Bombyx mori: one gene and its partner. The protein of the gene in region 1 interacts with the protein of each later gene in a pairwise test. Links are inferred from orthologs where the notes say so. Each region holds a gene or a part of one and is shown on either strand. Other genes may lie near its edges.

What was found.
Region 2: the proteins of epidermal growth factor receptor kinase substrate 8-like protein 1 (region 1) and E3 ubiquitin-protein ligase Su(dx) interact in a two-hybrid assay, tested with the Caenorhabditis elegans proteins (2 studies listed by BioGRID). The link is inferred for Bombyx mori from reciprocal best matches to the Caenorhabditis elegans genes eps-8 and wwp-1.

The regions. Positions count from the first base shown.
Region 1 is NC_085133.1:7,043,106-7,046,938, forward strand, and holds part of epidermal growth factor receptor kinase substrate 8-like protein 1, read left to right. Parts: intron 1-296; coding exon 297-394; intron 395-1,093; coding exon 1,094-1,218; intron 1,219-2,810; coding exon 2,811-2,954; intron 2,955-3,833.
Region 2 is NC_085110.1:8,433,178-8,437,106, reverse strand, and holds the start of E3 ubiquitin-protein ligase Su(dx), read left to right. Parts: upstream 1-1,080; 5' UTR 1,081-1,190; exon of another isoform or gene 1,191-1,390; 5' UTR 1,391-1,455; exon of another isoform or gene 1,456-1,503; intron 1,504-1,525; exon of another isoform or gene 1,526-1,724; intron 1,725-2,111; 5' UTR 2,112-2,195; coding exon 2,196-2,265; intron 2,266-2,378; coding exon 2,379-2,666; intron 2,667-2,898; coding exon 2,899-3,137; intron 3,138-3,493; coding exon 3,494-3,717; intron 3,718-3,929. UniProt on the Caenorhabditis elegans protein: E3 ubiquitin-protein ligase which accepts ubiquitin from an E2 ubiquitin-conjugating enzyme in the form of a thioester and then directly transfers the ubiquitin to targeted substrates. Ubiquitinates klf-1.

The DNA of each region.
Region 1 (3,833 bases):
ACCTCAAGCACTGGTCACGGTGCACGCTGAACCCGTCGCTTGCAACGAAGGGCTCGACTGGTAAATTAACCCATAGACACAGCCCACTGAGTTTCTCGCTGGATCTTCTCAGTGGGTCGCGTTTCCGATCCGGTGGTAGATTCTGCGAAGCACTGCGCTTACTAGGGCCAGTGTTAGCAACACGCCCGGTTTGAGCCCCGTGAGCTCACCTACACGTTAAGACAAAGCTGAAACAGCCTCAAGCTGAAAAAAGGATACAGTTCTGTTACATGAGAAATTTTATTATTAAATTTCAGAAATAACTTGAGACCACCAATCGGCCGCGAAGATTCGGGCTCCGCTGCCTCATCGCCCGACAGAGAGCCCCCGTATCGCCCCGCAGACAGAGATGAAGGTAAACAATAGTCTCGACAGTTCTCCGAATGCAATTTGTCCATAAACAATTAGAAAGGCATCCAATTTCGATTAAACAAAAAACGAAACTATAGACCAGTGGTCGGTTGTCAATCAAAAGAGCCAACGAGAATCCACAATTGAATTTTTGTTTATTATATTTTTGTAGCCTTATGTTTCAAAATTGTTTACGCGTCTCTTGCAAAGCAAGATAATAATAATAACATTCCGTGCCTGAACTAAGGCTCATTGACGTCAGCAATGCCGGGGGCAGAGCCAAGCCGCTGCCTACCATAAAGTACTCTGCACAAGCCTCGTTTGAACAAGGACATGTCATAGCGCTCGGAAAACACCGTGGAGGGGAGTTCATTCCAAAGCCGGATGGTACATGGCAAAAAAAATCTTTGGAAACGCACTGTCAATGAACGCAGCGGTTCCAGATAATATGGATGAACTCTGCTCCGATGGCGGGAGGTGCGATGATAAAAAGGAGATGAGATCTGTGATTAAAGAAGTCTTTGACAATAGAACCATAATAATTGTCAAAGTTTTAATTACAGTTAATTATAGTCGAATTTCGACTATTGGGGAGCGACTACTCTAAAAAATATAAACTCCCTTAGACAGGGTTTTTAAACTTATTTATTATATTATAAACTATTATATTATATTATATATTATAAACTATTAATTTTTTCAGCAGATTTGGGTGAAGCGTGGGCCCGGGGCGTTGCGGCCCGGGGAGGCCGCGTTGTGCGCGTCACCTACCCTCGCACTGCAAATAACGATAAAGAATTAACTGTCGTTAGGGGAGAGTATTTAGAGGTAAGTTCTAATCTTGTTCAGAATTCTAGCAAATTCTCCCAATCTCAAGCATGAGCTAAGTACGTATTTCAGTAGAAAAAAAAGTGGCTTCCTGCGGGTTTATTCAAATACGGCTAGTTTAAATTGATTGTATTTTTTATTTATTGCTCAAGACATTTAATGCCAACCACACGGCGCCATGAAGGATTTGGGAACCGAGCACACGGCGCCGGGCTTGTAATTATGTTTCTTTTTATGCAGCAGTATGTACCGTTTCCACCGTTCGTGTTGATAGCATTATGTGACGCATATGGACATATGCGTAAAGTAGCGATCTTATAAGATCAATATATTGATCAATGCACGCACAACGGCGCCGTGAGTCCGGGCCCTCGATCCTCCACAGCGCAGTGTGTTCGACATTAAATGCGTTAAGTGGGTGGACGAGCTCACAGCCCACCTAATGTGAAGTGGTTACTCCGGTAACCACTTCATATCTGCCTATAAACATCTACAACGTAAATGCCACCACCTACCTACCTTGAGATAATAGTTCTAAGGTCTCAGTTTTTACAGTACAACGACTGCCTCACCCTTCAAACCGAAACGCATTACTGCTTCACAGCAGAAATAGGCAGGGTGGTGATACCTACCCGTGCGGACTCACAAGACGTCCTACCACCAGTAATTAAGCAAATTATAATTTGTATTACAAAATGAAGTCCAGAAATATGTTTGACTTCGAGAAAGGTCTCTTAACTTCCTTTATACTTATTTCCATGGTGTCGTTAGGGGAGAGTATTTAGAGGTAAGTTCTAATCTTGTTCAGAATTCTAGCAAATTCTCCCAATCTCAAGCATGAGCTAAGTACGTATTTCAGTAGAAAAAAAAGTGGCTTCCTGCGGGTTTATTCAAATACGGCTAGTTTAAATTGATTGTATTTTTTATTTATTGCTTAACACATTTAATGCCAACCACACGGCGCCATGAAGGATTTGGGAACCGAGCACACGGCGCCGGGCTTGTAATTATGTTTCTTTTTATGCAGCAGTATGTACCGTTTCCACCGTTCGTGTTGATAGCATTATGTGACGCATATGGACATATGCGTAAAGTAGCGATCTTATAAGATCAATATATTGATCAATGCACGCACAACGGCGCCGTGAGTCCGGGCCCTCGATCCTCCACAGCGCAGTGTGTTCGACATTAAATGCGTTAAGTGGGTGGACGAGCTCACGGCCCACCTAATGTGAAGTCGTGACGGAGCCTATAAACATCTACAACGTAAATGCCACCACCTACCTTGAGATAATAGTTCTAAGGTCTCAGTTTTTACAGTACAACGACTGCCCCACCCTTCAAACCGAAACGCATTACTGCTTCACAGCAGAAATAGGCAGGGTGGTGGTACCTACCCGTGCGGACTCACAAGACGTCCTACCACCAGTAATTAAGCAAATTACAATTTGTATTACAAAATTAAGTCCTGAAATATGTTTGACTTCGAGAAAGGTCTCTTTACTTACTTTATACTTATTTTCATGGTGTTTCAATGTGTCAAAATTTCAAATTCATGACGTAATCTTTCATCCAACATTGTTCTATATCAGGTTCTAGATGATTCGAGAAAGTGGTGGAAGGCACGTAACAGACGCGGCGTGTCAGCGCACGTGCCACACACCATCGTGGCTCCCGCGTTTTCGCCGCCTTCGTCACCACACCTCTACCCTAATCCGATATACACACATTACCAGGTTCGTACTTTTAACATTTACGCACTAATACTACTCCGGCTGGCCCACAGGCAGAAGTTCAATACGCTGGTTGGACCAGTTTTTTTTTTTAATTCATAAATGGTTGGACGAGCTTACAGCCCACCTGGTGTTAAGTGGTTACTGGAGCCCATAGACAACTACAACGTAAACGCGCCCCCACCTTGAGATATAAGTTCTAAAGTCTCAGTATAGTTACAATGGCTGCCCCACCCTTCAAACCGAAACGCATTATTGCTAAACGACAGAAATAGGCAGGGCGGTGGTACTCAGCCGTGCTGACTCACAAGAGGTCCTACCACCAGTAATATTGTTGATTTGATTTTTATTTTTTCATAATTCTTATAAATTGTTATAGAAGAATTACCTGTATTGCATTAGAAAGTTCTTCTCTGAAATTTCTGGCAGCCATCCTGTCCCTGATTAATATTTATAACATGATTACTCTTTTTGTTTTTAATCCGTGATGTTTAAACAATCTCATATTGTTTAAAGAAGTCAGCTTAGACCGTTGACATAACAACGGAAATCCCACAACCCATCACGAGACGTGAGGTCGAAGATCCAATTGTATTGCACAAATGCTGCCTCACCGTTAAAACAGAGTTAAAACCGCGTCAGCTTCGCAGCAGAAATAGTCCAGATGGCGATACTAATTTTTTTTTCCTACCTAACCTGATAGCCTTGAGAGGATATTTCAGCGTAACCATAACTATGGTGATACATAACCGTGCTGTTATAAAATACGCTTCACATACTGCAAATGTCGGTTGGCAGCACTGGTAGGCTGGTATTAGCCTCATAGAATGCTGCTGCTTAGTCTGCCATCGAATCTAGCATCTTACAACAGGAAAGATATAT
Region 2 (3,929 bases), on another chromosome or scaffold:
TACTGTAAAACCCACTATTAATAGTACACATTAACGGTATAGTATAAAATTATGAGCAAGCTTTCTCTTGAGCGTTGTTCATTGACAGTTCTGAGAAACAAACACACAAATGGTTCCATACTCAATAGTATATAATACGCACTAGTATTTATCTATTCCACTGATACCACACTAACACTAATTTTACTCTCGCTTTAGATTTAGGATTGCTTTTGCACTACGCATTGTATTGCTTGTCTCGCTTCTCGTCCTTCCATTGCAAGACAAAATAGTTAAAAATTAACAAAAAAGTACGCTGGACATCAGCTGAACATCAACTCGCAATTTGAGACGTGAGATCGAAGTCTCAACTTTTGGCATCATCCGTAACTTGAGCTGATCGTAACAGAATCAAGTTATGTGATGAGCTATCTTGGGCTCTGGTAGAGCCCCTGGTCTACCCCACGTGTGATCGTTGTCTTCCATTCTGGTCTCCGACTTTTATAAGACGATTATATAACGGTGTTTGTGCGAGCTTCCCAGGACTGAACTTAGCAGGGTCACCTGTTACGTCGTTAATAGTCAGCGGGCGTCCTCTTTGGGTCCTAGCCTAACTTATCACGTTCAATGAGCTTACCAAAACTTCCACCATAGGTTTTTTTTTATTGCGATTTATGCTAGTTGCAGTAAACGAACTCATGTCCCAACTGCTGTTAAATCGTTACCGGAGCCATGTATCAACAACGTAAGCGCATGTACCAACGTGTCCCACCTTGAGATATGAGTTTTAACTCTCCGTTTTTACAGTACAGCAGCTGTCAACCCTTCAAACCAAAACGTAATTAACTGCTTCACGGCAGAAATAGGCATCTAGTGGTACCTACCCATGCAGGTTCATAGGACACCTTACCACCAGTAAAAGGTGGTAAGGCATAGGTAGGTGCTCGACTTACGGTCAAGATGCTCCGTCACATAAGTGATTAGTCAGTTTCACTATTTATTTATCTTTTTAGTATAAGTAGATAAATTTGATATATAGAAAACTAGTGGAAATTGTATAAAATCGATTTAATAGTCTTCAGTAACCTCTAATTTATAGGTATTATGTACAGACATACTCTGCGATAGGACGTGGTAGATTAGAAATTACTAGGTATATTGGTTGAGATAAATTAATGGACATCATTAATATAATCGATCGACCGTGACAGGTGCGTGACATACTGTGACTAATTTCAGGGAATGTGAAAAATTATTTACTCAGGATATCATTTAATAAATTTAAAAAAATACTAAAATTTTCTGTATACATTCAGATTTTCGTGTACGTGTATTTATGTGCCTTCTGCGCTAGATTTCAATAAGTAATGTGATAAAGAGAATGTGGCGTTATTTACGTTTCCTTTCACAGTGATAAGAATACGATAATAAGATAATTCGAAGGATTCTTAGCTTCGGACGAACTCGCTTCATATGGTAATAATTCATTGTTGTGTAACATTAATACTATAATTGTTTCAGGAGGTATGTTTGTATTGTGCACTTCGTGTTTGTTTATCGTTACAAGACGTATAAACAATAAGTGTCTTCTCGTTTAAGCTGGTTATTTAAGTCATTGACAGATAATAATCAATTGTCCAGTAAAACACTTAATCAACTTATTGGCAAATGCTTTCAGATCGGGATCGGTAATTTAGCAGCGTTAATTGGAAGCAAAAAAAAATTACTATTTTTCTTTTGGTTTGGTAATAGCAACATTAATGACAGTGTTCTGCTACAGTATTTTTCACACACAAAAAAACAGCATAGAAGCCCATTTAATTTCAAACTTATTACCATTAAAATCGTAATAAAATTTTAAACTTTATTCTATTTTGATCATCAACCTAAATAATAAGGACAAACCAATTAATAATTCCATACAATACTTCATACATATGGTTAAATTTTCAATACAATGTACAAAATCATTATCAATGTTACCTTTAAACTATAATTACTGCCTTATGGGACAAGTATTCCTAACACCTATAGCCCGTTAATTTAAATTTTATAAAACATTAACTTCAATTATTCATGATACTGAATAAAATGTGAAAAGTAGAACTCCATATTTTATTTTTCTTTCCCAGAAATGTCCAGTATTAAGATGAAACCACAGCCTAAATAAAACAATATTATGCTTCATTCAAAAGGTTTAACTAAGAGCATACACTATGAATGAAAATATATCTTCACTCACTGCTCCAATTTCTGTGTCCACATATCATCAACTGAGCTTAACAGGTAAGTTCAAATACATTTTGATCTAAACTGATTGAAAATTAATCTTGAAATATTTTTGCAAATGATATTAAATGAAATTATCAAATCTTCTAACACACATTGTATATTTTTAGTGGAATCAGCAAATATAAAAAATTCAGGCTTGTTCAAACCAAATCCATACCTGCAAGTTATAATTGATGATAAAATATTGAGAAAGACTGAAGTTATAAGGAACACCTTGCATCCAAAATGGAAAGAAGATCTTACTATTTTGGTGACGCCACAATCGCAATTACTGTTCCGTCTTGCAGATTATCATAGCTTTAGGAAAGACAATGTGATTGGTGAAAAAAAAGTGAACCTATTAAAAGTTTTGTTTTACTGTAATGGGAAATGTGAGAATTTAGAACTTACATTAGGTGAGTTAAACTGAACCAGTTTCTGTTGAAATTAAGAATAATTGAAGATTATTTAATATAGCCTTATAAAACTCTCTTCACTGAGAATTCATTTTAAAATAAGTACAATTTTTCAATATAATAAGAATGTAAAAGAAAGACATTACAATATTCAAAATTTGTGAAATTGTGCTTCATATAAATTCAGTAAACAAGTAAAACAAAACTTGTTGTAATGTTTGCACTTTTTTAGATTTAATGAAAACATCTTCTCAAGAGAATACTAGTGGAAATGCTGAGGTAAAAACAGCAGAACTGGTGTTGCTTCTAGATGGCTTAAGAATTGACCCTGGAGTGTTGACACAAACACGTGAATTACTTGGTGAAACGGCAAATACTGCAGCTCCCCTTAATGAAGGGGTGCGAGCCAGAATCAGAATGCGCAACAATCCTGAGACTGTTAGATCCATGATGCGATCACTAACACTTGGAGTAAGTTGATGTTTCTATTATTTGTATCATACAAAAAATTTAAAATAGAAACAATCCATCTACTACAACAAGGCTGCCTGGTTGAGTAATAACATTTATTCATGAATTATTATTAATTTCCATTAAATTGTTCATGACTAATTTAAGCTTTCCCATTCTATTTTAAAAAGGTTTATCTTTTGATCTATTTATATTTTAGTTTTAAATTACATTTTAAAGTTTTGAGATTGTAAAGAACTTTCATTAAAGAGTAAAGATATATTTTGCACATTCCATCAAAGTATAGTGTTTATATGGTCAATACAACTAAGAAGAAAAAGTTAGTTCTGTATAAATTATTTTTTTCATTTTTAAAGCCACCTCCAGGACCTCCACCAATGAGCAATGGGTCTATACATTTACCGAGTACTGCAACACAGTCATCATCAGAAACTGCAGGCCCCTCACAGCAGTCACGCCTGCCTGGTACACAGGATCCAACATCAACACAGCCAACATCTGCTAATACTGCTTACCCTAATGCTGCTGAGGAGCCTTTGCCTCCTGGGTGGGAAATGAGATATGATGGTTATGGTAGACGGTAAGTATTCCAACTCATAAATATTTAACGCGTCTCATACTAGCTGGTAGATCTTTCAATTCGATTTACAATATACTGTTTGGTCAGTGTTCGAGAAGTTAGGAAAGTAAAAAAAAAAAGAATAAGTATGTACTTTCTTTAAATTCATTGGAGTATAAACTGATTAAAAATTATTTGGTGTAAACGATAATACGTAACTATCTGCTACCGAT